Linked DNA regions of Caenorhabditis elegans. Changing the gene in region 2 together with the main gene of any one other region gives a genetic interaction. Each region holds a gene or a part of one and is shown on either strand. Other genes may lie near its edges. The genes, in order: ksr-1, let-60, lin-35 and sem-5.

What was found.
Region 1: of let-60 (region 2) and ksr-1, changing one enhances a phenotype caused by changing the other (phenotypic enhancement), as found in Caenorhabditis elegans (2 studies listed by BioGRID, with this or other methods).
Region 3: of let-60 (region 2) and lin-35, changing one enhances a phenotype caused by changing the other (phenotypic enhancement), as found in Caenorhabditis elegans (2 studies listed by BioGRID).
Region 4: of let-60 (region 2) and sem-5, changing one enhances a phenotype caused by changing the other (phenotypic enhancement), as found in Caenorhabditis elegans (2 studies listed by BioGRID, with this or other methods).

The regions. Positions count from the first base shown.
Region 1 is NC_003284.9:8,271,580-8,279,332, forward strand, and holds the start of ksr-1 (Kinase suppressor of Ras A), read left to right. Parts: upstream 1-3,589; 5' UTR 3,590-3,639; coding exon 3,640-3,745; intron 3,746-3,787; coding exon 3,788-3,858; intron 3,859-4,499; coding exon 4,500-4,676; intron 4,677-5,830; coding exon 5,831-5,921; intron 5,922-6,919; coding exon 6,920-7,066; intron 7,067-7,753. UniProt on the Caenorhabditis elegans protein: Serine/threonine-protein kinase which positively regulates Ras-mediated signaling probably acting at the level of let-60/ras or/and lin-45/raf. Involved in sex myoblast migration.
Region 2 is NC_003282.8:11,686,101-11,694,188, reverse strand, and holds let-60 (Ras protein let-60), read left to right. Parts: upstream 1-3,100; 5' UTR 3,101-3,111; coding exon 3,112-3,240; intron 3,241-3,935; coding exon 3,936-4,130; intron 4,131-4,187; coding exon 4,188-4,358; intron 4,359-5,083; coding exon 5,084-5,143; 3' UTR 5,144-5,962; downstream 5,963-8,088. Other genes in the region: ZK792.12 (CidA/LrgA family protein), read right to left, coding at 262-338, 387-396; ZK792.5 (Nucleolar protein 9), read left to right, coding at 6,072-6,362, 6,802-8,031. UniProt on the Caenorhabditis elegans protein: GTP-binding protein with GTPase activity. The level of let-60 controls the switch between vulval and hypodermal cell fates during C.elegans vulval induction. May stimulate the guanine nucleotide exchange factor (GEF) activity of rap-1.
Region 3 is NC_003279.8:5,806,045-5,813,657, forward strand, and holds the start of lin-35 (Retinoblastoma-like protein homolog lin-35), read left to right. Parts: upstream 1-1,664; 5' UTR 1,665-1,685; coding exon 1,686-1,743; intron 1,744-1,995; coding exon 1,996-2,091; intron 2,092-2,376; exon of another isoform or gene 2,377-2,453; coding exon of another isoform or gene 2,454-2,594; intron 2,595-2,902; coding exon of another isoform or gene 2,903-3,134; intron 3,135-3,178; coding exon of another isoform or gene 3,179-3,353; intron 3,354-3,398; coding exon of another isoform or gene 3,399-3,492; intron 3,493-3,595; coding exon of another isoform or gene 3,596-3,775; intron 3,776-3,822; coding exon of another isoform or gene 3,823-3,951; exon of another isoform or gene 3,952-3,958; intron 3,959-5,444; coding exon 5,445-5,665; intron 5,666-5,927; coding exon 5,928-6,044; intron 6,045-6,302; coding exon 6,303-6,976; intron 6,977-7,026; coding exon 7,027-7,434; intron 7,435-7,582; coding exon 7,583-7,613. Other genes in the region: vps-51 (Vacuolar protein sorting-associated protein 51 homolog), read right to left, coding at 1-168, 217-648, 708-869, 921-1,095, 1,139-1,197; C32F10.4 (uncharacterized protein), read right to left, coding at 2,454-2,594, 2,903-3,134, 3,179-3,353, 3,399-3,492, 3,596-3,775, 3,823-3,951. UniProt on the Caenorhabditis elegans protein: Key regulator of cell division which acts as a transcriptional repressor and negatively regulates cell cycle progression in its active unphosphorylated form, but allows cell cycle progression when phosphorylated.
Region 4 is NC_003284.9:7,957,309-7,964,920, reverse strand, and holds sem-5 (Sex muscle abnormal protein 5), read left to right. Parts: upstream 1-3,197; 5' UTR 3,198-3,208; coding exon 3,209-3,286; intron 3,287-3,336; coding exon 3,337-3,437; intron 3,438-3,608; coding exon 3,609-3,731; intron 3,732-3,778; coding exon 3,779-3,886; intron 3,887-3,934; coding exon 3,935-4,071; intron 4,072-4,570; coding exon 4,571-4,710; 3' UTR 4,711-5,468; downstream 5,469-7,612. Other genes in the region: sfxn-2 (Sidoreflexin), read left to right, coding at 6,624-6,769, 7,040-7,201, 7,287-7,559.

The DNA.
Region 1 (7,753 bases), on a different chromosome or scaffold from region 2:
TGATCTAAATCTAGACTAGTTGGGCTTCTTGGATTATGAAGTTGGCAAAGTGCATGATGAGGCAAGCATATGAGTGGACTAAATTTTTAGAAGTTCTATATAAACTATTTTCATAAATCTCCAAATTTAAGTTTGTAAAATATACATTCGTTAAAAATGTGTATGTTTTTCGTTCAGCCTGGTTTTATCCAGATCACACGTATTATCTTCATTTTTAATAATAACAAATTAAGAACATTTTCCTAATTTTTTAAATCAACGGTTAGTAATGTTTCCAGCTTAATGTTTATTTATGTCTAATCTCATCGTTTTGCAAAAATTGGTTACTTATGGGTTTCGTTTCCCCAGAATGTTTTCAAACCTTGTAACGCCCAAAATTCCAATTTTACAATAATGTTCAAACACAACAAAGCTTCAGAATAATGTAAAGCTTCAGAATAATTTTCCATTTGCAGTTTTCAGAACAATTTTTCAGAATTCTTATTTTCAGTTTATTTTTGCATATCCCATTTTTGTCTTTTTTTGCTTTTACAAATGCAGTAAAAAACAACTGAACATTGCTTAATGCCCTTATATGAATAAAATATTAAAGTATCAACTTTCCTTATTATTTGGGATTCTGATCTCAGCCTGTAAGCAACCTCCCGCATTTTTTTGTTATTCAGAATATGAAATGACCAAATTGCTCTCTTACAAAATACTCAATTCAACATTCAAATTCAAAATGAGTTCAATGTTTCATTAAAGCTCAATATCACATTCTCATATAAAATGTACACAATACACGCACACAATAGACTTCTGGTAGCGGCAACCACTTTGAGTGCACGTTTCCGGCCAAAATGGCATGGATTTCTGAAACTGGAGCCAACGAAATAGGAATGCATTCTCTTAGGCTTTCCACCTTTTGTTCGCTCAATGTTCTGATTTGAGATCGCAATTCAATTTGGTTAGTTATCGCGACTGTGTCATGAGGAAATCATGCAAAAATAATAATAAGGAACTCATGAGTTCATATTTTTTAGAATTGGACACATTTTTTCACAGCGGAATTCCGGAGGACGAAAGCTTATTTATTCATTAATAGAAAGTGTTCAATTATGTTAAAGCTATTTTAATTTTCAAGTAGTATTTTGAAAGCAGAAATTCACAACGTTTTTTGAAACTTTAAAAGAAAATATGATCATATTTTCCTAACAAGAAGGATCTATGGTAGTTCAAAATTTTGAAGAGAAAAGTCAAAATCTACATCATATCTTGTTATGTCATTCTTATGTGTTACAGGGGCTCAAAATCAGTTTAACCTAATTTTCACTCTTTATTGCATATATTAGTTGTATATTTTGTGTTTTCTTTTTTTCTATTAGTGTTCCGCTCAATTACTTTATTTTGACAAGTTATGTCTTGAATCGATTTCTAGTTTTCCGAAAATGGACAATTAAAAGTATGTAGATAAAGATACTGTACATTTTTGTTTGATAACAATTTTCCATAAAATTAAAAAATAAACAAGCTATGGGTTTCCAAATGTAAACAGACTGAGACAATACTAATAGAGAAAACAGGAGAATTTTAGTAAATGTCCATTCGAAAAACCGAAATTGGTTGCCTGTCAATGCACATCCAAATTCACGTCTTTTATCATAAAATTTGTAATAAAGGACTAAAATCAATGAATAGTGATAGTTCAACAAAAAATGTTTGTTGTCCGCTGCGACGCGTATAAATTTGTAAACTTTAAATTTTTCTGCTAAATACAATCGGTTTTCATTTTAAACAGCATTTTTTGAGAAGTCTCTTTTTAAAACACAGTCTAAACATTTTGGTCCATTAGTCGTCTTTTAAAACGTAATTGCTATTACTTCAGTACTTATATTTTACCCTAATTTTTGGCTAACTTTACCATAGTTTTTGGCACGTTCAACAAACTACCCATAATTACTTTCAAAATTTTCATCGAGCAGGAACAACATTTTTAATGTTGACTTTGCCGAGATGTTACACTAAATTAGTTGTGATCTGCCAGCAAACCAGGAACTAAAAGCTTGTTCAATGCATTCCTGGTATGAATCTTGACCTACTCTTAAGTTGATTACGCAACATTTTGAACACCTGTTGTGGTCTTCTCATTGCGGACCATTTTCTCTCACCCCATAGACATACAGTCTCCTCTCTCTCTTATTCATACACTATTCCCCCCATCCTCCCGTCTTCCCGACATTTTTGCGTCCTTTCCTACTATTCCTACTGTCAATCCACACCGTTCTCCCCTTTTCTCTTCATCACGTTCAAACAGTTTGTTTGCTTGCACGCCGATCTTTCTTCCTCTTTCTCTTTCCACAACTCTCAGCATTCTAGCATTATTTTCTCCAATATATTGAACAGTATTTGAATGCAACGTTTCTTTTAACTTCCGACCAAAGCCTTATGGCAATTTTTTCTCACAACTACTCTTTTCGGTCGGCATTGCTTAATTTTTAAGCGCCATACTGTTGTTCGGTATTTCATGTGAAAGCGAAAAATTAAAAAAGAAAGAAAAGTTAAGCTTCCTAATTTTTGTATTTGTGGTAGTTTTAATACGCAAAGCTAGGAAAATGTAAAACTCAAATTGATAAACTATAATTACTTAGGAGTGATGATAAAGGATAATCGATTTTTTAAGTGAAATAGTTGAATATTTCTACTCAATAAAAAAACACATTTAATATTGGTAGAGTACAATTATTGGATTTGGAACAGTATTCTAATTAAAGAAACAAAAGAAGCCAAAATAAAAGTAGAATGCCATTGAAAAAAATCGGGACATTGTGATGTAATAAGTCTAATCTAACCACCGGAAAAGAAAATGTGGTCGAAAATACCAATTCTTCTTTTCTTCTCGTCACTTCTAAATTGAGTAATGTACATAACCTGTCTCATAATTGTTCGCCACGCAACCTTCACAATTTCGATGGCAGAAAGCCGCCGAAAGCTTTTAATTTACTTTCCGGACGATTTCGACTTTTCTAGAAGGTTAATACACACCTTTTTTGAGTAGATGATGTTGTAATAGTAAACAAACTGTAAGCATACTTATATTGGTCATCGCAATTTGACTTTGAATTGTAAACATCCAATTGTGATGGAATTTGTAGGAAGAAAATATTGTAGATTTTACTAACTCATGAATTGAAATTTCTGACTGTACTGTGGGGCATACACATATTTTCTCTAATTGTCTTGCTCCCTTACAGTACGAATGCAAACCATACTAACAGAAAAAACTCGGCACTTTTCAATATTACTTGCTCGTTTGCTTTTCTAGTCATTTAACGCCTTTCTAAAGCACCAAATACATTCGTATTGCCCTGCTCCCACTACCACACATACATAAACGAAGGATGAGCTCACAGGGAGCCATTTGATAATTGCGACGACACACACACATACACAAAATGAGAAACCAAGCAAAAAAGAGTGTGGCGCACGTGTGAGCTCACAGCGTGCTCCGTTTGCACCGGGGATTTCCAAAAGTTGACCAAAAACCAGCACTGTTTTTTCTTGGCAACCTTTTGAACGTTGTGCTCAACCAACGAAAGATTTATTTCAGGGAAAAGATCCGGAGAAGGTAAAAACTAACCAATAATATCAATACACAGAATGATGCAAACCCAAGTTGCATCACGTGCGGGATACAGTAATCTACCGCAGTTTGGTGCAGGAATCGCACAGGATATAAAGACACAGGCTATAAATAATTTGAAGGGTTAGTAAAAAAAATTTAAAAAAAAACAATTCGAAGTTGCAGAATGTTTGAAACTTACCACTATCAATCGATTTTTGACTTCATCATACGAAGAAGATGCAAAAAGTGTAGAAGTAAGTTTTTTTGAAAAAAAAACAACTTTTGTAAAAATTCAAACTTCTCCTATTCGTGAGCATCGTTGTTTTATAAACTGTAAATAAATGAATTCAAGACAGACTAGTCTTCATTCAGCAGAAAAAATTTTTAAGATGCTTTAAAGTTTTGTTCATAAAATACACTATACATATATTGACACCTCAGTCCAAATTGTTTTAGATCTTTGTGGTAAACCAATCTGTGGTACTAAACGTTTTTCTAGACGTTTTCCGTTTATACTGTAAAGTTTATTTGTATAATTAAATTCTATAATGGTATTTTGATAATAAATTTAAAAAATTAAAAATTTAGATGCACAACTTCGTGCATGAAACGCTAATCGTTATATTTGAAAAACTGAAACTTACTTTCAAACAAATGTTGATTTTCAAATGTTTTAAATTTAGTGAGTTTATGATATTTTGAATATGAAAAAATATCAAAATATCAAAGCTTTTAAAAAATAGATTTAAAAACTTTAAGTGAATGTAACTCTTTTTTTCTACGAATTTTAGTAATCAAGATATCAGAGACAGATGAAAAGGTGAAACAACCTGAAACAAATGGTCTGAAATCTTTCATTGACGTCAACTAAATTCCAATGATTCTCAATTTACAGCGCAAAATATTCTCGGCCGTTTATCAAATGACAAAAATTGGTTTGATTGATCGCGAGAAGCGTGAGATCAACGCCATTTGGTTCACATTTGTCGGGCTCAGCGCACAAAACATTCGGCACTTGGAGATTTGCTCGATCACCGATTTCAATGCTCTGTTCAGCATCACTAACCAAGAGGTTTGATCCTTCTCTTTTTTGCTCTACCTTTTCTCTCTTTTCTCACACATCATTTCCTGATTTTACACCTAACAGAAACATACAAACACTCACAAATCGGGTTCTAGGCATATCTATATCCTTCTAAATGTCTTTCTGCTGATTCGGGTCACAACCTTCAACATTATCGTTTTATTCTTAAACTTCTTTTCATTTCCCTCTACGCTTCCCATTGGTTTGGGGTGTTTGGGAGTGCGCTTTGACGCTCTTTCCCTCTCGTTTTTCCGTTTCTGTTTCCGTCTCTTCTTTCTTTCTTTTCACCTTCTACTTTCTGCATTTCTCTCCTTTCCTTTCCCACTCTTCTCTTTCTCTAGAGGCCAGAAAACTGCAGCTCTCTCCGTTTTTTTCCTGATTTTTGTGAGCTAATTTGTTATCCAAAAAAAGAAGAGTAAACAGAAAAAGAGGATTAGGTTAATTGTTACCTATTGATATTCTGCTCATTGTTGTTTTTTAAGACTCACGAACTTTCTCTCAGCTAGCACATGCATAAGTCATGTATCTGACTGATTTTTATCATCTCATTTCGTAATTGTTTGAATTTGAGTTTCGACTTTTCATTTAGTCATTTTGCAGCAGGAAGTGTTTTTCGAAATGAAATTTGTCTTACTTTTATCTGACAAATCAACTAGTTTGGTAATTTTTCAGATTTAAAAATTTCCTTTTTTTCATTGAAGATTTTTTTAAAACTTGATTTGTCAAATTTTTTAAGATAACTTTACCATTTAATTTACAACAACATTGAACAAATCAATTGTTAAATTTGAATTCGAAACAAAACTTGAAAACTTCAAGTGGCCTTTCATATGATAATTGGCCAAAATATTAGAGTTGATTTTGAATGAATGTTTTTTGTGAGAACAACTATGCTGAAGCATTTCTGGAACATTCATTGTTTTTAGCGATCCAAAGCATACACGTTTTTGTTTTTTTGCATTGCCTCCGTATACTCGGTAACGTCATTCGTGTTCCAACAACACCTGTTACATTTCTACGAGTTGTTTTCACTCTTGTCTGCATGTTATCAAACTTCTATTGCTCGTTTCATTACTTTTAACCGAGTTTCTCTGTGCTCCGCCTTCTGAACATTTGAACCCAAACATAAAAGTTTATTTCAGTTGCGATCGCTTGCGGATCGTGGTCGTCTTGATGTGGAGACCAAACGAAAGTTGCTTCAATCTACAGTGATTTTACAAAATCACTGGAACGGTAAGTGTGCGGCAATTTGAAAATTTGTATTAAGTAAAATGTAGAAGAAAATAATTCTTGCCACGAAAATTTTGCAACTGTTATTTTTTGAAAATGTTCTCAAAATTCCTTACTTTTCTAGTTATTTTCATAAAAATTTATAGTCTCAAAACCAGTAATTTGACATTTTTTAATCAAACTTTAAAATTTAACTTTAATCAATCCCGAGATGGTAACTGCAAAATTAAAAAAAAACAAGACGGTTTTTATTAAAACAATTTTGAAGCATATTTTATACTGAGTTTGCTCCACTTCTTGAAAATTTAAATCACTGTCAAATGTTCAAACCCCATACATTTTAAAATTTGAATATTTTGAATGTAATTGAAATAAAAAATGGAAAATTTTATGATGGAGGACTTCCGCAAAAACTGGTGACCATTTAGTATTGAGCTTTTTGATTTTAAATAAAAAAAACTTTCCAAAGTTTTTGGAATAATTTTATTATGGTATATTTGATTATTTTTGTACCATAGGAATGGTTTTGAAAAACTTCCCCCGCAGATCGGAGTCCGCCTTCAAACGTCGTTTTCGGTTTATTTGTTAATTTTAGAATTAATACTTTAAGCAGCCTGAGAATTAAAAAATCAACCTTATTCTTTTATTCAAATTAAAATTTTTAAAATGTAGTGTAATGATACACATTGAACCAGCAAATTTGACATAGAAATACCGCACATCTTTCAAATGTTCTCTATGGTTCATCTACTTCGAAAAAATGTTGTGAAAATAATTTGTTCTTAGAATGAAACCTTTTCACAAAATGTTTATGGAATTGTTTTATTTTATTTAAAACATGTACAATTAATACAATTGATGTAATTTTGTCAGGAAAAGTGAATTAGATCATGTGATGTTTAATCATTCAGTTTTTGCAAACGTTCATGTAAATGATATACGGTATCAATTCAAAACAAACATCAGTTCATCTACATAAACTAAATCTCAATTATTTTTAGCGTATCACAGTCGCACATCAAGTGGATCCACTGACGAGCCGTCAGGACAGTCAACACCAGCAATTGTTACGCCAAGTCCGAAGTTTAACGTTCCTTCACTTTCAGTCACAAGTGCCAAAATGATTCAGTCATCTAGTATGGGATTTGGTTAGTTTTTGAACTTTCAAAAAATAGCAAACAAAAATTTTGCACTGCGGTTTTGCAATTATTCATTCTGAAGCAATTCTCGCAAGTGTCAAATGAAAACTTTATGAGACGCACATGTGACAAATGCTTAGCGTGAGAATATTAGTTAATAGTTGGAAGACCAGACTGACTAATTTGCCAAAAACATTGAGGAGTGGGATAAGCTGTCAGCTTTCTAAAAGTTGGATAGTTGAGGCTTTTGGTTGAAAATGCAAGTAATATTTGATGATAGAATTTTGAATTACTGATAAGTTTGAGATACTATTATGTACAAAAACTGAATTCAAAACTAGGGGTCTTTGCAGAAGAATTGTTGCAAATAGTGATAAAATATTTTTTTACAAACAGAAAGCAAAACAATTAACATTTTTGTTGGTACACTTTTCATTATTTGAGACAATTACAACGATTTTCGGGATGGAAAAAAACTTTTTTGCGACAAAGCGTTTCAAATTCTCTAAAAAAGGGTTATTCATCTTTGAGACTAATTGGCTTTAAAAAAATTCTATGCATACCATCATACGGCAATTCAAGTAAAAATCAGCCGTTGAAAATTTACTCAGTGTAATCCTGGCTCAAAATCTCAGACGGAACAAGAAAATGTGTGATAAACATACTAGTTTAAATGTTTTACTAATAATTGAAGGT
Region 2 (8,088 bases):
TTTGCTTATCGCTTTTGCCAAAAAATCACAATCTCGACAAAAATCTTTTCAAAATTCACAGATTCTTCAATGCTCAAAATAATTAGTGAACTTTATTTCTTTGGATTTTTCGAAAATTGTTCCAAAAAAATAACAGCAACTCTTGAACTTCCTGGTTTTTTCTATTTGGTATTTCATCGTGGAGTACACCACTTTTAGATAATTTATCGTCGGAGTCAATCTCTCCATCACTCAGCGGTAGAGAACGTGTACTCGTTGTTGTCACAAAGAGAGCCAAGTTGTCAAGTGCATACGGCCCCCGACTGCGAGAACGACGACGACGACTAGGCCGAATGAAACTAAATTGAAAAGAGTTTGTCTCCGGGAGTTTCTTTCTTTCGACTCACTGTGCTCCATCGTCTTCTCTTTCCGCGCTCGTAGATATTTTTTGAGTCTCTAATTTTGGATCCTATTGAAGTGGGTGTTTTCGTTGCATATTTCAACATATTTTAATTGAAAGTGTGGCTTATTTCTTGTTGACAGCCCTATTTTAAAACTAAATATCACTAAAATTATAATGTTTGGTGAAAATTGTTCCAAAAAGTCACAAGTTCGTGTTTTCATGGCACATTTCAAGCAACTTTTAATATATTTTTTTTCCAGACTACCGAGGAAAAACTTTTATTTAAAAATACACTGTTGAGAATGGTATATTTCCATCATAATTTTTACCTACCAAACGTATTGAAACTGTGGAAAAGTCTGTGGAAAAAATGCCGAATTTCCAAATTAAATGTGACTTTTTGTGAAAATTCAAGACGTTATCGAAGCCATGTTTGAAAAAAGTTTGCATATCTAATATTATTTTTGAGAAAACTTGAAGTTTATAAAACTGTTAGATTAGTTGAAAACTAACCGTTTCGAAAATTCAATAATGAAATATCTGTTTTCAGGTTTTCATTTCCTCTAGTTGCTCATTTCAATATATTTTAATATCAAATTCTACTGGAAAGTATGTGTCATTTCTTGTTGACACCACTATTTTCAAACTAAATAAATACCACGATAATTATATATTTTGCAAAAATTGTTCAAAAAGTATCAAGTTTTCTCGTTCTTGGCATATTTCATGCAATTTGTAATTCTTTTTGTCTCAGTTATGTCATAACTTTTTCTAAAAATCCTAAGTTATTCTAGATTATTTGGGAGCAAACATTTTTAGAAATTCCCAAAGTAGATTAACAAAGAAAATTCAAATATAAATCTACTGGACATTCAAAGAAAAGCACTTAGACAATTTGAATCGAATTCCTCAAATTCTTGAACTATTTTTTAGAGGATTTCAATTGGACAGAAAGAATCTCAAGCACTTAACGTCGGCGGAAATAGTTTTTTTTTTTCAAAAAGAGACCACCGCCTTTGCTAGAAACGAAAATTGCATGCGTTCCATTAAATAATTCAATTCATCGTTATCACCATCCTTCGTCGTCGTCGTTATCGTCAGAAACAGATAGGGATGGGTCGATACAAAAAGAAAGTGGACAGTTCTTTTCTCTCACTCTTTTTCTCTTTTACAAATCACACTTGTTTCGTCTCACACACGCTCACTTCTTGTCTCTTCTCCCAACAGTCGTCGCAAAACCGTCAAAAGCGTAGCGGCTGTCGCGTCGCGGTCGTTCGTGTCTATGCATCACCGTTTCTAGTGCTCTCTAATTGTCCCGCCGTAGCAGTAGCAGCAGTAGCAGCGGCATGGTGGGGACCGCACTCCTTTATCTTTTACTCTTACTTTGTGTGTGTGTATGGGGGGTGCGAGAGAAAGAGATAAAAAAGAAAGAAAGAGAGAGTGTGTGGTTTCTGTGCTTCTGTGCACTCCAGAGCCTCGGATTTCTTTTCCTATGAACTTCATTTCTCGTCTCCATCATCAGAAGGAAGAAGAATTCTTCAGAATCTTGCACTTGAAGCGTTTTCTGCCTATTTATTTTCTCCTCCCGAGTTCATCTCTCTATTCGTCTTTAGCTTAATCCATTTTATTAGGCACGCACCCGCTCCTTGGTTCAACCAAATGAGAAGATAGAAAAGATGGAGCAACGCATCCCAAATTGTGTGATAGGATTAAAGTAGTGTGGAAGAAAAAAAAATGCAGAGTGAGAGAAGGGGCAGTCTTCTTTTCCGGTCTTACTAATCCTAACGTCTTCTTTTTCCTTCCTATCTCTCATCTCTCAACTTCTGAAATAGTTGAGATGAGTGATTTCGTAAGTTCATTATTCTTTTTTGTCAGTTTTTGCTTATAGTTCCTACGGGAATCATTGTTTCTTAAACATGCTACTTCTTTAAACAATTTATATTTAACAAAGTAAAATTGAACGTTTTTTTAAAAACTTTCTAACTGAATTTCGTAAATTTATTTGTTTCCTTGTGAAAAATGCTTGTCAGGAAAACTTTACTTCTCTACGTCTCAATCTCTGCAATCTTTTAACGAGAGATCGGAGAATTTTGTATTGGAAAAGTGAAAAAGAAAAATGAAAGAGACCCACTCGACACTGAGGGCGACCGAAAAGAAACCGACGAAAAAAAACGACGATTCGAGCCATTTGTCAGCGACAATAAGTGGTCGGGTCGCACCACTGTCCGCCGTCTCACCGATTTTAACATTATATTGTCCCCCTTTTTCTTCATCGCTTTGAAATCAATTTTTGATGAAGTGAAGACCTTTTTTCTCCTGGTTTTTTTTTTAATAATTGCATTACCCCATTTTTTAAAGTTCAAAATTACTCAAACTATTTGAATTCTTCTTTTTTTCAAATTGTAATGACTCATTCTCCGTCGTCTTCAAATAGTTACTCATTCCGACTCACCACCTAGTTTATTAACAGGAAAGTTCATTCTTTTTCTATCTTCTCAATTATTCTCAAGTAGTCATCATCGGTTTTTTATTTCTTTCCTGGTAGTTACTCTCCTTTATCGAAACTTTTTTTTGAAAAAAAAAAGAAACGGAATTCTGAGTATGCCGATAGGCAGAGCTGCTCTTTGGCAGTGCTCCCACAGAAATCCTTCTCCACTTCGTTTTCTCATTTCCATCTCTATTTTACATTTTTCCATATTCAACTATGCGTCTTTTTTCAGAAAAGGGTAATGACGGAGTACAAGCTTGTGGTAGTTGGAGATGGAGGAGTTGGTAAATCAGCACTCACCATTCAACTCATCCAGAATCACTTTGTCGAAGAATACGACCCGACCATAGAGGACAGCTACAGAAAGCAGGTGAGAAATCATTGGGAACATCCGCTACACACATGTGGTGGGAGCAAATTGAACGAAAATGATGGCATTTGAAATTGAACAAAAAAACGATGAGTCAGAAGTTTGGAAGTTTTTTGAAACACATCGAGCTGTTTAATTGATTCCAAAGACGAATAAATCGTGCTGAAACACGAAAAATTCCGAAATTTTCGAAAAAAAACCAATTTTTCGTGTTTTGGACACGACATTATAAAATGGCTGGAACTGAAAAAAATGGCTCGAATCATGATTTTTCATTGTCCCCCGAAAATTCTCACAAAAAAAAATTGGAAAACCGAAAATTTTAGTTTTTGCAAAAACCGGAAAAATTCTGAAAACACTCCAAAATCGATATTTCTCAGACGAATTTCAATAATTACATTCCGTTTTACGTTTTATACAAAAAACAGAAATTTCACTTTTTTTTTGAGAAAGGGCCCAAAACTTTTTTTTAGATTTTTTGTTTTTTTAAAGCAAATCGATAAACCAGCATGCCTGCTCGTGTCGTGTGAGGAGTATAAATTTTTTTAAACGTATATTCATCTTTAAACTCTGAAATTCAGAATATTATTGAGCCCTAATTTTCAGTGTTTTCATTTGAGTTTTTAACCAGTAAAAATAGTTTTTCAGTTTTAAAAATTGCTCCGAGAGCTAGTTTTTAAATATTCTAATTTCAGGTTGTGATAGACGGTGAGACATGCCTCCTCGACATATTGGATACCGCCGGACAAGAAGAATATTCGGCGATGCGTGATCAGTACATGAGGACAGGCGAAGGATTTCTGTTGGTTTTCGCCGTCAACGAGGCTAAATCTTTCGAGAATGTCGCTAACTACCGCGAGCAGATTCGGAGGGTAAAGGATTCAGATGATGTGAGTTTTTTTTGTTGAAATTATCAGTCAATGGTTGAATATTTGTATTTCTTCTAGGTTCCTATGGTCTTGGTAGGGAATAAATGTGATTTGTCATCTCGATCAGTCGACTTCCGAACAGTCAGTGAGACAGCAAAGGGTTACGGTATTCCGAATGTCGACACATCTGCCAAAACGCGTATGGGAGTTGATGAAGCATTTTACACACTTGTTAGAGAAATTCGCAAGGTAATTTTTTAGTTAAAAATTTAAATTAAAAATAATGTTTTTAATGTACAATTAAGGTACAAATTCAGTCATTATTATATGAAAATTGAAAGACGCGAGATTTTGATATTTTCGCGCCAAAAATACGACACCCGGTCTGTTCGATTTGCTCCTTCAAATATTATGGTAACTTTATACTGTCGTTACAGCGGAATTTTCATCAATTTTTTTAAGTTTTCGATATTATAAAAATATTTAAAAACACAGCAGTTTTAATAAATCGGTGAAAATTACCCCAGAAACGAAATATTAAAGTTACTGTATTCTTTAAAGGCGCACATACGTTTGCATTTAACACAAATTCATCGTGTCGAGACCGGGCACCGCATCTTTAATTTGAAAATCGCCAAATGTTGCATTTGAGTAATACAAAAACGTTGTTTTTAAAAATTTTCTGTTTTGTAAAGCTCTAAAATGTTATTATTGTTATCAACAGTTTCAAGTTTCCATTTTTCACTAAAAACGAAAAATGTAAGTTTTTCCGATATTTCGAAACAAAAGCTCAAAGTTTTGGTCATTTTCTTAATTTTTAAAGAAAATTATATGTTTTCTTTTGTTTTTTTTCTCACCAGCATGCACAAAATCTGATAAAAAATTGAGTTTTATTGTTAATTTTCTAAAAAAAATTTTGATGACACCCTAGATTGATATCCGAAAGATTTAATAATGTTTTCTTTTTATTTCAGCATCGTGAGCGTCACGACAATAATAAGCCACAAAAGAAGAAGAAGTGTCAAATAATGTGATTCAGCGTCGGGAATTGCCCAATTTCGCCAACTCATTTTCAGTCGTGTCAACTCCCACCCAATTATCCTTTCTCGTACTTTTTTGGTACATTTTCATTATTCATTTATCTGTTTTATCTGAAACTTGTGATCGATCCTCTTCCGCCTCTACATACTCTTCGAATTTCCACCTTTTTTTCTCTATGCATCGATTGAACTTGTTCTCTCGTCTGCTCGTCATTATTTTTTCTCCTTTTTTTTCTTCATCCTTCATTCTAATTCCTCATCTTTCGCTTAGCCCAAATCTCCATTCATTCATAGGTGTCAAAACTAGCTGTAGTGTGTGATCCATATCTAAAACATGCATCCGAACCCCCTCCTCGTTCCAAAATTGGCCAACTCTACCAAAAAAAACATCGCACCATTTTTTTTTCACTTTCTCTGCATATTTTCAGAATGTTTGTATTGCTTTTTTGATGCTTTATTCCCCTTCCTCGTTTTCATACAAATTATTGGCCTCATCTATTTTCAGAAGTTCTCTGAAAATTAAATTCTTTTGCATCTGCCGGTCGTTCCGTTTATTTTTTCTCTGTTTCCTCTCATTTTTGTCAAGTAATTATTTCTCTTTCATTAACTATAATATAGATACAATTAGACCCCATTTCTCATACATTTTCTGAACATCTGAAAGTTTTTGCTCCCTCGTATTGCATTCATTTTTCTCTATTCCTCTACATTTTATAGTCCTATCTGAATATAATATTCCTATTCTTTTGATCAAGTTTTTATTATTATTTTATTTTCAAGGAAGTATTGCAATGATATAAATTTTAAAAAGCTAATATTATTTTTTTAAATCTATTCAACTATATTTTGTTAATTTCAGTGTTATATTTTGACCTCGCCATCGGAGCATGATTTTAAAAAAAACTAAATTTAATTTATTAGAATGACGAGAAAAAGGAAAAATGTAGAGTCTGATGAGAATCCTCCAGCGAAAAACTCATTTGAAGGATACGGATATGCTGCTGCTGATGCTGAGAAGAAGCCACAGGAGGAGAGAAACAATTTCAGAACTTTTCTAGCCAAAAATGAACGATTTGGAAGTGGAAATCGAGGTGGAGGAGGTCGTGGAAGAGGAGGAGATGGTGGATTTAGAAGAAATGATAGAGGTGGACGTGGTGGTGGTGGAAGAGGATTCGGTGGTAACAGAGAATTCAGTGCCGGAGATTTTGAGAAGGTTTGTGTCAGATGGTGTCGTGAGTGATGTAGCGTCTCTGGCTTTTTAAACTCAAAATTACAGAAAAAGTTTCGATATGTCGAGTTAAAAACATTTCTAAAATTTGTATTATTTTGCAAAAAATAAAAAAAAGCCGAATTATTTTTGAATTTTTTAGTCATTTTCCTGGACAAAAATTGTTCAAAATGTGGAATTATAGGTTTTAGACCAATTTCATTTTATCGAATTTCGTTCGGATTTTCGAGGTTTCTTTCCGAAAAACTGTCTGAAAAAATGAGCGCGGGAATTCACAAATATTTCAGTATTTTTTTGAAATTGAATTTTAAAAAATTTATATTCGATATATTGAGACTTTTTTCTGTGAAGAATCGATAAAATGAACTCCAAAGCGCTCCCTAGGCAATTACCACAAAAACGTATATATTTATTTAATTTACAGCAATACGGTCGAGTTGGCGGCGGTGATGACACGAATTCAGGACAACCGGATAGCTACGGACAAGCTGATTCGGCTTCATTCAACGACTCTCGACCAGATGGAGATGGTCGTGAATTTCCGAAAGAAATTGTTGGTTATCTGAGAAGTATTGAACAAATCAAGAAGAAAGAGGGAAAAATTGAAGATTTTATTCTGGAAAAGTGTGCTGAAGAAGTTGTTGGCCAGGAGAAAACTCTTCTCTCGTGGACAGAAGCAGCCGTTGTTGTTGAATCTGTATTTGGAAGTTGTCCTAAAGGAGCAGCTCTCTTCCTTTCATCGATTTCTCGTCTCAAGCATAAAACATTAGCTGAGCTGATTTTCGGAGGAGCTAGTGCTAGGACAATTGAAAATTTGATATTCTCGATGTGCCCAATCGCCGAATCAGAACATGTGGAGATTCTTCAAAAACTAGCAGGAATTCTTATGGATAACTGGGCGGATGCTGTTACAACACAACCTTCGAGTTTTCTGATTCGAGCTATTGTCTGGGTGTGTTGTGGATTGTCAGCAAGGCCAAAGGTTGGAGAGGAAAAGAAAAGAAATTACAAAGGACAAGAAATGAAGGCTAGCTTGAAGAATGTTTATGAAAAACTTGCAATCTTGGCATTCGATGAGAATCTTAATAAAACCTTTATGGATTCTCCGATTTTTGTGACACTATTTCAAGATTTTATTGAAGCCGATGGGCTTTGGGGAGACAAAAGAGGTGATGAATATGTGAAGAAGAAGCTCGAAAAGGAAGATATTGAAGGAATCTCGAAGGCATGGTATTCATCAAATGGATCTCGTGTTTGGGATAAGCTGATGGAAACTTGCTCAGAAGATGCTCGAAGTCTTTTATGGATTGAATTTTGCAGTAAAAATGTTGACGAATTGACAGATAATCGATTCTCAAACTTTCCTCTTCAAAAAATGATCAATAGCTCAACATCGTTGGAAATGGTCACTGAAATAATTGAAACAATGGCTCCAAAGTGTTCTTCTCTGCTTGAACATCAGAATTCTGGTGTGTTCCTTTCGGTTATCCGATGTGCTGCACGATATCCATCATCCGAGAAAACCATGCTTCAACAACTGAGAAAATATTTCCGCGCAGCTTCAGAGGCAAAGAAAGGACAATTTTTACTCAACGTGCTTACTTTGAATGGATGTGATGGAAGCATTTTCGATACTCAGAAGTTCACACAAAAGGTTAGCTATAGCGTATACGACTTCTACATAATCATTTGAAAAATAGATTTGGAAGTG
Region 3 (7,613 bases), on a different chromosome or scaffold from region 2:
TAGTTCGATAGTTAATGGAAGAAAGTCAAGTCCAGGAATCACATAGCGGCAGGTTGAGATTTTTCGAAAATATCTATCAAGAGCCCGGACGACAATTGAACAGTCTTTTGCATCACTTGATGATAGAAAAACTTTTGAAACCAAAGCATGCAGAGAATTCATTTCCGTCTGTAAAAAAACTTTAATTTAATCCAAATCGTTTTTAAATTAACAAACCTTCAAAACCGTAATAAGATCTTCTCGTTTATCCTCAAATAATCGATCATGAGTTGTTGCAATCAGAGTGAGATTTGGAATAAAACTCTCAGAAGCTTTATCAACGAGATCCAAAACATCCGAATGATTTGCTGATAATTCTTTCAAATCTACTCTTAAAGATTGTTCTGAACACGTGAGCAACACTTTCTGAACTTCATCTTCATCTCTTCCAATTGTTAATAATAAATCTACAGCTTCTGATACTAATTCTGCACCAGAAGCCGGATTTCGCAGTTGATCCATTAATTGATTTTCCGTCATATCATAAATTTTCTTACTTTTTTGAAGAACTAATTGAACTGTTGGAACGTCTTTATACTGCGATAGTGACTCTTCTGCTAATTTGAACATTCGAAGAACTTCTCCATAGTTTCGCTCATCGAATTCACTCTGGAAGTTGTTTAGTTTGATGCAATATGAAAAAAAAGTTTTAAAATTAAAAATGTTACCCGCAGAACATGAGGAAGATCGAAAATATGCTTCAAACTATTCACAACTTTATACGAGCTTCCCAATTGTAGAATATCGTCACGTTTTTCGCCCAAAACTCCGTCAAGATTCCCAATTAGAGTCGATATTGTCGACATACTTCGGCTGAGAGATTTCATTTCCTGAAAATTAACATTAAAATTGTCTGATTTTATTATTATTCGAAAACTAACAGAATCGAGTTGCGTGAATTCATCTTGTATTTTTCGAACCGTATTTGTCGCAGTCAGAAATTTATTGTAATTTTCGTAGACTATTTGATGTACATCTGAATCAAGCCTTCTCACAGCTGAAACCATCTCCTCCTCTTCTTTTACTAATCCATCAAGCGACTTTTCACGGAGTAATCTGAATTAATAATATTTATCAGTGCATATCTCTGAAAACTAACTTGACGACAAATGCTTCGACATCAAAATCCGGCTTTGTGACGTCCAAAACACTAGACATTTTACATTCAATACTGAAAAATTAAAGAAAATTCAGGAAAACTCGAGAATGAAAAAAAACAGATTTGAGACACCATCAATACAAAGGGAACGAAATTTGGGGGAAATGCTGGTTGCCGAAAAAATAAGTAGAAGGTAAGATGTGTTCAACTGGAACATACATTTTCTGAATTGCAAACTCGATTTCTCTCACATTCACAATTTTTAATCACATTTAATGCTTCAGTTTTAGAAAGTTCTGAAGTATCCTCTTCTTCCTATTCAGTTTCTCAAAATCGATGGTGTCTCCAGGACGTGCACAAATGCGCTCTATTGCGAATTGTGGAACATCATTGCGCGCGCGACTAGAAAAAAATGAGCGCGTTCTTGAAAATTATTTTGCTTTCTCTAATTTTAAACGATTTCGATTACATTTTATCTGAACTTTCTTGGGTTTAATCGAATAAAAAACACAAAAATATTCTTCAGACTGGTAAAAACTTCTTCAATATGCCGAAACGAGCAGCCGATGAGCCTGGAACATCAACAACTGACCCATTTCACGAGCGTAAGCTTTAAATGATTTTATTCAAAGCGTATAATTATACTTGTCTGGAAAGTGAGGCGTTATCAAAGCTAGTTTCTCCGCCGCAGTGAATAGAAAAACTGATTAATGCAATTTGCGCAGGGTTCGATTTTTTCGAAATTTTTTAAACAGCGTTCAAGATTTTACTTGCCTTTCCATCAGGGAGAGAAATTTTTTAGAACTCAGCCTCAAATTACCGCAAATAAATTTAGATATTAATTGATTTATTTTCAGAAAGCCCATTCGATGCCGTGTTAGCCGGCACGGAGACAACGGATACAATATGTGAAGAGCCACCAGCAAAACGAATCGACTTAGATATAAAGCAAGGTATGGGGTTTTATAAATATTAAATCTGATTATTTTCTCCTTTTCAAAAATATTAAACAAAAACAAGGGTTTGCAGCCTCATGTGATAATCTAAATGACTGCTTTGTTTTACATATTAAGAGCATCCTTCGTTTTTCCAATAATTTTCTCTATGAAGATAGATATTCCCCAGTTCATTATCACCTTTATCACAACTCGCTATCATCTCCTACTTATATAGGAAATTATGAAGTTATCAAGCGCTCAGTCACCTGACTAGTTAAGAGGTCACTAACAACAATAGCTACCAATCAAGCAACATTTTTATTATTGCACACAACCACGAGCAAATGTCAAAATATACATAGAAGACAGAGTGAAATCTATTGAAGAACGTCACTTCGGACTGTTATATGTCCTGGTTCAACCACGTCACTATATGCAGGCGGCCGAGAAGTTGCACGTGGTCGGGTTGGATCTTCATCATTTGTAAACGCCGAATTGTCAGCTCCTGTTGGTTCACTCTGAAATTGTTACAGAGTTTTAGTGATGTCATAGGGAAAGAATTTTAGAGCTCATTCTGGCTCGAATTTGCTGGAAATCGGAGGTTTCCCAATAATAACCATTTTTCTGATATTAGTATTACTTTTTCGACTACAAGCGCTCCGTAACAAAATTTAGCGGGTTATTTGAAGTTAATTATAATCGCATTAAGACGTATTTATCTAATGCAGCTTATAATATAGAAAGAATAGCTTAGTTTTATATTATTGATTAATGAATAGTCGTTGAAACGGATTTCATAAAGCTTCAAAAAATTTTCAAAACTCACATTGGCAACTGTCAAAATCGGTGTCGATACGAAAGAACCACTCCTCGTTGATGCCGACGTCGTCGAACTCTCGCTATCAACAGGTTGTTGTTTTGTAGGAATCGGAGGAGCAGTTTGACTTGACATTGGTGGGGCGTAGGCGGTATATCTTGGTGGTGGTGGCATACCACTGGGACTCATTGGTGTTGGTACAATGTATTGAACATTGTAATTTGACGCCTGATGTTGAGGTCTGAACCATTGAATGAATATTCATAATTGAAATAATGGACTCACAATCTGTATGCATTTCTTCTGAGGAAGTTGTAGAGAATCATCATATATCGCATTTGGACGAGTGCAACAATAATACTAACAGTTAGGAAGAAACATGAGATTATAACCATTTCTAATTCTCCAGTTGTCATTTTTGGAACACATCCCTTCGCAGTGGTTACATCCTTTTGGTTATCTTCAAATCAGTTTCTTTATTCCGGAAAATTGTATTGAAACTAACCTGGATTGCAAATGTTATCATTGTTATCCGATAAATAAATACATGCAATAACTGCTCCCAGGATCAAGAAAAACACCCAAAATGTGTACATTGACTGAAATTGATAATTATTTCTCAAAGTGTATATTAACGAGAATATTGATGCTTCCATAATTGACTAGGAACATCGAATCTTGTGAGTTATATTTAAAACGTACTAGATATAACATGTAAGCAGTGATATAGGCAATTTTTCTACGCTTTGCACCAGTTGATAGAACAAACATCATGGCGCTTCCAATAGAAATCTCGAAAACGTAGAGCACAAATGGAGATGGATACAAAAGTCCGAATATTTGACATATCATGAGAATGGATCCGAGAATTCCAACAGCTCCCTGAAAAATGTTCAATCCTTGCTGAGATTCAAAATTTCTGAACTTACACCAATTGGAAGTCCACAAAATACCCTTGGCTCCGGTTCAGCAGCTATCCGCTGTGTTGGCTGATGTGGTTCAGCCCGTTGTTGCGGGTGCTGATACGGATCCGTCGTTTGAGAAGACTCGGTTGTCATGGTTCTTCTGGAATCAATACAATTTTCTTGGCTTATATGGTTTATAAATGCATTTGTGTGTGTCTGAGTGTGCCAACAAGAGACCTCTACGAGAGAAAAGAAAAGGAGAAGCAGAGTCGGGGAGGTGACATACGACTGATATGGTCGATGTCACGACAATATGATTCTCTTTTTCTCCCCCTTTCAATTCTTCATGTGTCGGTTGAGTAAATATTGCATGAAACTGTAGAAATGAGGGCATTGGGAGATAGAGAGAGGGACGTTGAAAATAGAGAAGAGCACTAGAATCAGCTGAGAGTATGTGGAGAAATAAAGAATGATAAGAACGTTGGAAGAAACTAGAACAATTTTGGCAGCTTAGTTTCGTCGTTACTTGATTTGTCACAATTAAATATGGATAAGTTGAGAATCAAGGATGCCAAAAAATATTTTTGACAAAAAAAAACAAAAAATTTCTTGTTCAAATTTCGTACCAAAAACAAAAAAAAATTGGATTTTATTTTTCTCGCGATTTAAAGTTAAAAATTTCGAAATTTTTTTTTGGTTTTTATGATATTTATACAATTGTATTTCTATAGAAATACCGAAAAAAAATTGGTGACTTATCGAATTTGTTTTAATTGGAAAAATATAATGGATTCAATTCGTTCTTTAAAAATTATTGGAAATTACTTTAAAATTGAAAAAATTGAAATTTTTTTCATTAATTTAAAAACTGACATCCTTGGGTCAATTCATTGCCATCTGGATAAATTTCCTTTAATATTGTAAATCATTGAGTGTTTCCAGTTGTGTAGGTCTCACTATGAAGAAACTATGAAAGAGGAAAAAGAAAATATAGAAAACCCATAAAAGTGGGAAAAAAACGGAAATTCGTGTTCTCCGTCGAAAAATATCACAATTTATGGGCTTATATGTGTGCGGGACAATGAATTCAATGTAATATTATTACTATGCACATCAATAAATTCAAATATAGCTGGTATCCACTCTTTTGGGTTTTTTCTTTTCGATATGCACCTATGGGAAAAGTATCAAATTTCAAGACAAATCAGTGGTTTTGTTCACGAGAGAATTTGCCTAGTTTCAGAAGGTTTATGAAATATCAATTAGTATTAAGAGTACACAAAATTATAGGATTTTTTGTTGAAAATTTAAAATGGTGCTTCTCCGTTTAAGATATATTTAACAAAAAATCTAACAAAATTAAATTGGTAAACGTTGATATAAAAAATCAGAAAATTGGTTTGGCATTTCAGAAAATATTTCAAGATGGATCAATCGTACTTGTTAACAGTATCAATTTTAATTTAATTTAATTTTTTTTCAAAATATAATAAATATGTTTAAAAATTCATTGATAATAAAAATTAAACGTTTTTCATAAATCAAACTTCGAAACATTTTCATAAAAAGGTAGCACAAGCAATAAGAAATGTTCTTATCACAGTCAACCTAGATGACATGAAATATTAAATGATAACTGTTTTCAGAATTCAATGGTGGAGTGCAAAGTGGAGGGCTGATTAAAAATGAATCCGAATTGACTCAAATGACAATCAAACAAGAAACAGAAGGAAACATAAATGAAGCTAGACGAGAAGAAGAAGACGAAGAACAAGATGAAGATTCCAGAACATCAATGCCACCTGCATTGGGAGAAGATGATGATTATGAGGAGGATGATGCTGATAGTTTTATTGATAAAACTAATGTAATACTATGTTTCTTCTAGTTTTACAACATAATATTTAAAATTATACGGAAAATGATGCGGATAATTTTAATTTTCATCAACACTTGAAAAAGGAAGTCTAGGACTAAGATTTTCTAAAAATTATATCAATGTCAACCTGAAAAGTTAATATCATAATCAGAAAAAAGTATTTTTATTAAACGAAAAAATGAAAAAAAAACCCCCTTTTTGCCCCTGATTGCTCAAATTAAAGTATAAAAAAGAATTTTAAACTTTTCAGACACCGCCACCATCACAATCATTTCTGGAAGGATGTCGAGCAGCTAATTTACCAAATGACATTGTTACTGGTGCATGGGAAACGTACAACCACGCGGTTCAACGGGTTTCTCTTGAGGTTAATTGAGTAGTCAACGAATGCGGGGAAGGGGTTTTTTCAAAACAAACCACTACTATATAATGTAAAAACTGAATAATTCAAGTAGCACACATAGTGAACACAAGTGTGCCTAATTAGAGCTTTCAAAATATTTTTATGTGTTCTGACAATTTTTCATTTCAAATGGCTATGAAATTTTTCACATTAAAAAATAGATATTAATCTGAAAATAGAATTTACTCTGCTGCTTCTTCTAGACAATAAAATAATTTTCAGGGTTCGGAATCGGCGTGGCAACTATCAGCAATTTACTATTATCTTCTATCAAAAGGAATAAAACGTCGTGGAAAAACAATCCGTATTCTCATTCAACCGTTTCCTGTTTCGATACTTACAATTGCCAACTCATTTGACATATCCGTTGCTGAAATGCTTGACAAAACTGCTCGATTTGTGGAAATTATACATTCCAGAAAAATTCGTCGTTATCAAGAATATATTCGACGAATTCAAGAAGGACTCGCAGTTTCTTGTGTGATATTCAAAAAGTTTTGCCGAATTTTCTGCAAAATATTCGAGGAGATCAAAGTTGGATCCGAAAATTGTCCATCTTCTCATGAACTTTTTACGGTTCTTTGGACATCTTTTCTGGTGATGAAAAGTCGAATGACAGTGGACGATTTGATTTCAAATTATCAACTTCTTTTTTCAATACTTGATCAAGTATATACCGAAATGTGTTCAATGAAAGAGGGAATAGTTCATCATTTGAATCAAAAATTTGTTGAAGATCTTCTTGAAAATGATTGTACGATTATTCGAGCTCTTTGCACACAATTTGGTGGAAGTGTTCTTGATGCACGGCACTTTTCTGATCATACTTTTAAGAAAATGGAGAAGACTGGAATTCCGTCCACTTGGAATTTTCAAGAGTTTCGAGATTTGATCATGTACGTTTTATTAGAAAATGTAATTTTAAAAACGAAAATAATACTTTCAGGAACGTTCCAAAAACGGCATATGAGAATTATCTATTGCAACGTGGAAGTATTGATGAGCGGATTTTCATTCCAAGCGTTGAGGACTTTTCAAAAATTTTCCAATCCCCGGACACATACTCAGTAGCAGATATTCTCAAAGTGTCTTACTCTGGAAGACGTTTCCGTGATGCAGAATTTCTTACAAAAATCTCAAATAATCATTGTCTGGAAAAGTTGGCATTAGGTGGAAAAGTAGCATCAGAAAAGTTGGTAACACAGTCAAAAGAACAGCCGAGAGTTCCGTGTGTTGAGTATAATCTCGAATTGGGAAATTATCCAGACGATTTGGAATCGAACAATCAAAGTCTTTATAATAGATTGACAAAAATTATTGGAAGCTGGAAATTGGAGAATTCGAAACTCGAAGAGTAAGTAGCGAATCTATTTTGCACAAAAAAAAGACAAAAAAGACTTTTTTTTCGGAATATAGTGAAATATGAAAAAAAGACAAGTGAAATATGAAAAAAAATGCTTCGATGTTCTTTGATGACTACAAATCAGAAGTATTTATTTCAGAGTGTGTGGCACAATGTCCGACAGTCCAATG
Region 4 (7,612 bases), on a different chromosome or scaffold from region 2:
AAATTATTAAAAACCATGTTATTTTCTTTTTTGGATGAAAGTGTTTGTCTAAAATTCTGGAACGATTTAAATGCTACATTGCTTGTTCACTCCACATGTCCCCAAGACACTTGAAAGCTAATTCAATCAATATAGCGAATCGCTTCATTTCCTCACTATCTCCAATATGAACTTTGACAAAAACAGGTGGCACTCTGCTTGTCACAGAATGAAGTTCAATTGAAACGAGAAAAACATCAGAATAGCGCGCTGACCAGCCACGAAAGAAACTCCGCTACTTTTTCTCATAAATTTTGCTCCTCCGAAGAGAGCTCCTATCTCGCGGCAACTATTTGAAATTGAATAGTCGTCGCTGGTGGCCACTCCTCGCGATTATTATGTTTCTCACACTCCATGTGCATTCTCGATATTTCATTTTAGAAGTGATGTACATTCGTTTAAATTTATATTTGCATATGAATAGTTTAACACTGCATGCTCCATTTTGAATCAGCATGCACTGCAACTTCAAAAAAGTAAAACTAGTACTTTTGTTGTAGGAATAAATTTTGAAATTAGTAAAATAGGTGCAATATGAAACCAGCAAGATTCATTCTTCTCGACATCCCAATAGTATCCATTATTCACAAGAACCCTCCATTTCTATGTGTTCAAGCAAGGCCCCCCGTATACATTACGCACTAGTGTTGAGAGTGATTCATCTCGCATCCAAACCAAATCATTCTGGAGTGCGCATTTCAACACTTTTTAGCTAAGCGTGTATGCATACACAGATCGTTGTCAATATAAGTTTTCGGAAGAGAAGAAGTGACAGATGAATGTGTCTGTTTCTGAACCGAGATGATGAGTAATCCCCTAAGCATCCATTCGTTTTCTTTCTTTCGATGCAGAGTTCCATTTTCTGTATGAAACATTATCGTTTTGTTTTTGTGATAATGTACAAATGAAAATTGTTTACAGCTCGTAAAAATCATAATATTGCTCTTTCTAAATGAATTGTGTACCAATTAAAATTGCGTTTCTGGTGATATCGCCCTCCCTCAGTAAATAGAATAAAACTTTTAATTTAAATTGTTTAATTAAAATTTCTGGAGTTCGATGCTAAAACGTTTCTTTTACTAACGCAAATTTTCAACATTTATTCTGCACAATTACAAGATACTAGTTTTATTGTTGTGTCGAAGTTTTTAATCAAAAAATTACATAAAATTTTAAAGAAGCATTTTTAGTTTTTTGATAATAACCTTTTTCTCATTTCCAAAGAATTAGGAAAGTGTTCAAAAACTGCCTCAAAGGCGCAATCCAACAATATTGAAATGGGTATTTCGTGAGTTTATCTAATGTTCCAAGAGAAATATGTCGCACATCTTTGAGGCAATGTTTTCAAGCCTCTAAATGAAGTGAAACCCTAAATTTAAAATTTGGGTTAAGTTTCTGTTAACGATACAAATTCAGAATGTTTTACTGAGAATGTTAATCTATTCGGTAAATCGGCGCCACTTCTCAACCAACTTTAGCCATTTTCTAACTGTCATTTGCAAAAGTGGCAAAAGTTGGTTAAACAGGGTTTTTACGCTCTAAGCAACTAGAAAAAGTGTGTGAAAGTTGACGAAAGTTGGTCGAGAAGTGGGAAGTGGTGGAAATCTAATGGCAGTTAGAAAGTGGCCAAAGTAGGTTGAGAAGTGGCCACGAGTTGCCGACTACGGAACCTAGTAAATTTATTGACAAATCAGTCACATAACCTTGCTCTTGGAAGTTCACACTGTAAAACAGTGAGAATTTTCAGAAAAGTTATATGGATATATTTAAAGAACCAGTGACAAAATTTAATATTTTGGTTCTTAAAAAAGTTAATTTCAGTCATATATTAGTTTTACTATAGATACTGTTCTTACGATTTTGTATTAGTCAGGTAAATACACATTTGTCAAACTAACTAGTAGTAAATACAGTTGGTTTCCAGCTAGAAAACACTATTCCTTATTATATTTACGTACACTCACCGATTAAAATGTCAAGTATTTATGAGTAACTGTCACAGGTTCGATTATCTTTTTTATATCGGTTAAATTATAGTCTTATTTCGTAATTTTCATTAAATTTTTTAACTGCTAAATAATTTTCCAGCAACTGAAGTTCAAAAATTTGATTGAAGTTGCAATCTATTTATGTTTCCTATCTAATTTATCATCTCTAGCCCTATTTCCGAAATAGTTTTCATTTTTATTTTTGAAAAGAGAATCGGTACTGACTACCCAGCACACCCAAATGTTTTGATTTCTAGACGGTTAGTCACCTCAGGCTGGACAGGACAAGGTGGGAGTGTGTTTGTTGACATTCTTCTAATCGATGAATTGCAATACCCAATGCCTTGGAGCATTTTCAATTTGATTCTTTCTTCTTCGTTTTCTCGTGTTCTCTTATCACTTTTCATTTGTTCTTTTCCGTTTCTCCGGCCATTCATTCAAAAGTGTAAGAAAAGACGTGCATGATGACTGCTGATAGCGTATCGCACTTTTTTCTCTGAATCTCCATTTGAAACCATGTAAATTACAGAACTCATTGCGGAAAACAGTACGGTCCGGCCTGCCCAAACTCGCCGTTGTTTTTGTGTGTGTGTGGGAGAGACAGATAGAGACAGTGCGAAGATGGGAGAGAAAAAAGAGACACGAAGAACGCGTGATAGATTTGGAGTATTAGAGAAAAGTAGTGTCGTAGCATTCGGCACATTTAGTGTTGCATACAATGCGCCGGAATCGACGACACTTAGTGTTGCCCCGGTTTGTTACTCTCCGGTTTCTACTGTTTCCACTGTTTCCCCGTTTTCACGTTCAAACACTCAACTAAAACCACCTCAATCACCGAACTAGTGACCCTGCGGGTTTTTATTTTGCGTTCTGCGTTTCTCAATTTCATTTATCCTTCTTTTTTCTCGCCGGTCCTCTTACTCATCTCCTGTTACAATTTGCACTACGCTCTTCTCATTCTCATTTTCCCTCTCAGTTGTTCCTCTATGCTTTGCCGCTAGATTTTTTTATTGCTCTAATAATTTTTCATTGGCGCCGCGCGGATATGTCGATATGTAGATACAGTCTCTCAAGCAGGCCAATTTATTGACAACAATGTTTGTTCAATGTACTCTGTTATGTTTTATTTTGGTGTTAATTGTTTCTGAAGCTGCAAAGAGTATATTTCAGGTAGCGAGACGATGGAGGCGGTCGCCGAGCATGATTTCCAGGCGGGATCACCTGATGAGTTGTCTTTCAAGAGAGGAAACACGCTAAAAGTTTGTTCAACAATATCATAACCGGGCCCTGATAAAATCAATAATTGCAGGTTTTGAACAAAGATGAAGATCCACATTGGTATAAAGCTGAATTGGATGGAAATGAAGGATTCATTCCTTCTAATTATATTCGTATGACTGAATGCAATTGGTATGTTCGGGAAAAAATAGTTTGACTTTTTTGAGGATTTAATCTATAAGCTTATATTTTAAAAATCAGTCGATCTTACTTCTCGCGGTTTTTGTTTGTATACCCCGCAGCTAGGGCGCGAAGAACTGAGAACGCTTGCGTAAACAATTTTTAAAATTTCTGGATTTTTAGGTACCTTGGTAAAATAACAAGAAATGACGCAGAAGTATTGCTGAAAAAGCCAACCGTACGTGATGGTCATTTCCTTGTCCGACAGTGTGAAAGTAGTCCAGGAGAATTTTCGATCAGTGTTCGGTAAGAAGATGTTATAGATTTTCAAAAAGTTATACATTTTTTTCCAGATTCCAAGATTCTGTACAACATTTCAAAGTTTTGCGTGATCAAAATGGTAAATATTACTTGTGGGCTGTCAAATTCAACTCTTTGAATGAATTAGTTGCTTATCACAGGTGAGTCACACTTTTTCAAAAAAAAAGTAAAAAATCAATAATTTTCAGAACCGCTTCTGTTTCGCGTACTCACACAATATTGCTGTCAGATATGAATGTGGAGACTAAATTTGTACAGGCCCTGTTTGATTTCAACCCACAGGAGAGTGGAGAGCTAGCTTTCAAAAGAGGAGATGTTATCACTTGTAAGTGTTTTTGAAACACAAATTTTCATGATTTTAAAATGTTCAATTGAAAGTTTGAATCAAAAAATTCTAGGTTTAATTGAAAATGGTAAAAATGGATATATCTTGGACTGTATTTCGAAAATTTTGAAACTATTCACTTTATAGATCTTAAAACAAGAATATTTAAGAAGAACCATAAAAATAACAAAAAGGTAATACAAAGTACTAGGAAGATAATATGAGACGTCTTGCTTAAACTAACTTTCACTGGAACAAATAAATGCACGTATTGAAAATCAGTTGTTAGATTAGTTTTTGTATAAACTCAAATTGAAATGAAAAAACTCTGTGGCTATTATTTACTTTTCGGAGAAACATTGGATTTCAAGATACAATTTGCAGCATTATGAATGTTCACAACGTAAAAATAGAGTTAATCGGTTGATCATCTATTTGTCGGGGTTGAGCAACCCCGAAAAATAAAACATTTAGAAAATCTCTTATATTTTATTTTCAGTGATCAACAAAGACGATCCAAACTGGTGGGAAGGACAGCTGAACAACAGGCGTGGAATTTTCCCATCCAACTACGTATGCCCTTACAATAGCAATAAGAGCAACTCCAACGTGGCTCCTGGCTTCAACTTTGGAAATTAGGACGTTATTTTAGGATTTTTCCTGTCTCTGTTCGTTCTTTAAAAGGAGCGTTCAATGTTTCTTCTATACCATTTGTTCTTGACATAGTAGTCTAATAAGCCCTCTCTTACTTAATCTCCAATAATAATCACTAAATCTTGTCACAAACACACTTTCCAATGCTGGGTATTAATTTCACAACTTTCTCAAAACTGAGATAAGTTGTTCGTGTTTTACATGTAGACCATGAATTTTCAATGTTTTTATTCTTTGCAACTTGGAACTGCCATTGGCAATGTTTTATCGATTTTTTGTTCGGTTTCGTTGGCAATGATACAATTCTTGTTGTGTTATCAACAGCCTTTTCTTTCCCGCTTTCTTCCAACCCCACACCAATTCTATTACGGATCTATTAAGCGATTAGATACTCTGACACAATACTCAGAGACTGTTCGCATTTGTTTTTTTTTGTGTTCATGCAATTTTTGTCATAACTATTTGCCATTTCTCGTCATTGTCTCTCTTTTTCTTTTGACATTTTGCAATTCATCCAAAACCAATACGATTTTTCGTTCGGTGCTACATTGTTCGGTTTTATCACAACTCACACTGTTCTGATATAGTTTTATCACTTCATTCTATTCCTCCGGCTCAATCTCTTGTCGAGAGCATCATGAAGCTTCTCTCTGCCTCCCACTTTACTCGCCGTCTTGCTTTTATATCGAATTTGTCAAGTATTTTCCAATCCCTTTGTAAATCAATGAAGGTTAATAATTATTATATTAATCCACTTTCTATAATTTTTACAGAACATAATTTGTAGATGCAAAGTAGTTTATCTGGAAAATTTTGCATGTGGAGTTTCCTTTAATGACATTTTCACATTTTGCAAGCTAGTTTGAACAAAATACTCAGACATTTCGAATTTTAATAAAAGTCTTCTCCGATTAGTTTTAAAGTTTATACGGCTCTAAAAACGAAATTAAACCATTAGTTAAAATTCTATAACGAGTCAATGATAATAATTAAAATGAGCGTAATGGGTTGTGAAATCTTTTGTCAACGGAAAAGGTGAAGTGGTATGTTTTTCGAACTTAAAAATCAATTTTTTTTCAACCAAAAAGCGCGCCGTCTTTACTTATTTCTTGGATATACCAGATAACAATTTATTCTAAATTTTAAGTTATTTTTTTAAATTATAATTTGTGAGTCTCAAAAATGCAATAGTGCTCTCAATTTTTTTAAAGCAACGTTAATGTCTTTTGCTTTACCACACCTTTGATTAACAATTGAATTTTGAAAGAAAACGTAACAATATAAAGCCGTATATATTCGTTGTTTCGTGATATCACGAATTTACAGACCGTTTTATAGTCTCAAAACGACAATTGGAAGCTTGATGCTCAGTTGACGTAATTATATTCCATGGAAAACATTTTTTGCATTGAAAACCTTTTAAAAATTCGCAATTTGAAATGTATGCAAGTTGTTTATGAGCAAAATTGGCAGGATTTAAATTTCCAAAAGGAGTCGGGCTGAATTTATTTTGATGAATACGGAAAAAACTGCAACGTGCAATTTAATTGAACATGTTTCACCTATTGTTTTAATTATGCTCAAAAAGAAAAAAAATAAAGTAAATTTTTATTCCTTTTTTTAAAATAATACTTTTGAAAACCTCAAACGAAACGCAAAAAGCAATCATGTTTCAAGGGCACTCGAGATGAGCCAAACGTTTCTATGCCACGCAAAAGCCAAGTCAAGTCTCGTTTAAACACGTGTGCTCACTATCCCTGCTCCCTTTTCGTATTTTGTCTGCACCTTTGCAACTGCCAGTCTCACTCGTTTATGTTTTCGTCCTTCTTTAAATTTAGTATATTGGTTTTTTCCCATTGATTATCTTTCTAAAAAAACGTTTTTTTGTTCAGCCAGGCATGGCTTTTGACCCAGATCAGCCACGATATGATCAATCAACATTTTACGGCCGACTGCGGCATTTCGCTGGAATGACAGATCCACTGATTGCATTTTCTTCAACAACAGAACTCATTACTGCATCGGAGTTAATGCAAAAATGCAGGTATAATTTTTTTAATATTAGGCTGTACACGTAAAACAAATTGAATTTTTGATTTAACCAAAACATTTATTATCAGAAAAAGTTAAATTACATATTACAATAGCTGTATTTTTTCTTAAGTATTTAGAGTGAAATAACGGATATAAGAGCTTTAAGGGTCTGAGTTTGAAGTAATTCAAGCAACATTAAAAATTTCACAAAATTTGTGTTAAATACAGTTTTGTAATATCTTTGAAGAAATTTTTTCAAAAATAAAAAAAACGTTTACAGAGAGAAGAAGCCAGTGCCGGCAACACTTGAGGAACTTCATCGTTCGCAACGTCTGTGTCAATCAGCTTTTCATCCGGATACTGGAGAACTTCAGAACTTTGCTGGAAGGATGTGCTTCAACGTCTGGGGTGGTACAATGCTGTGTGGTGCAATGATGATCTGGTAAGTGAAAAAGTATTGCTAAAAGTAAGCTAAAAGGTAAAAGTAAGTAAAAGTATAAAAGTAAGTAAACCAATTACTGTTCCAGGTACAAATCGACGCCAGCTGTAATTTTCTGGCAATGGGCAAATCAGTCATTTAATGCACTGGTCAATTATACCAATCGAAATGCAAAGAGCACATTGACAACAAAAGACTTAGTTGTATCGTATTCTACAGCAGTGTCTGGAGCACTGGCAATGGCAATTGGGCTGAAAACATATTTTGCTAAGAAACAGAGCAGTCCTTTGGCTCAACGATTAGTACCACTGGGAGCCGTTGCAGTGGCTAATGCTATTAACATCCCTATGATGCGTCAGAAGTGAGTACTTATTAGAGAATAATCAGTATTTTTTAGTTTCAACCAAGTTTTTA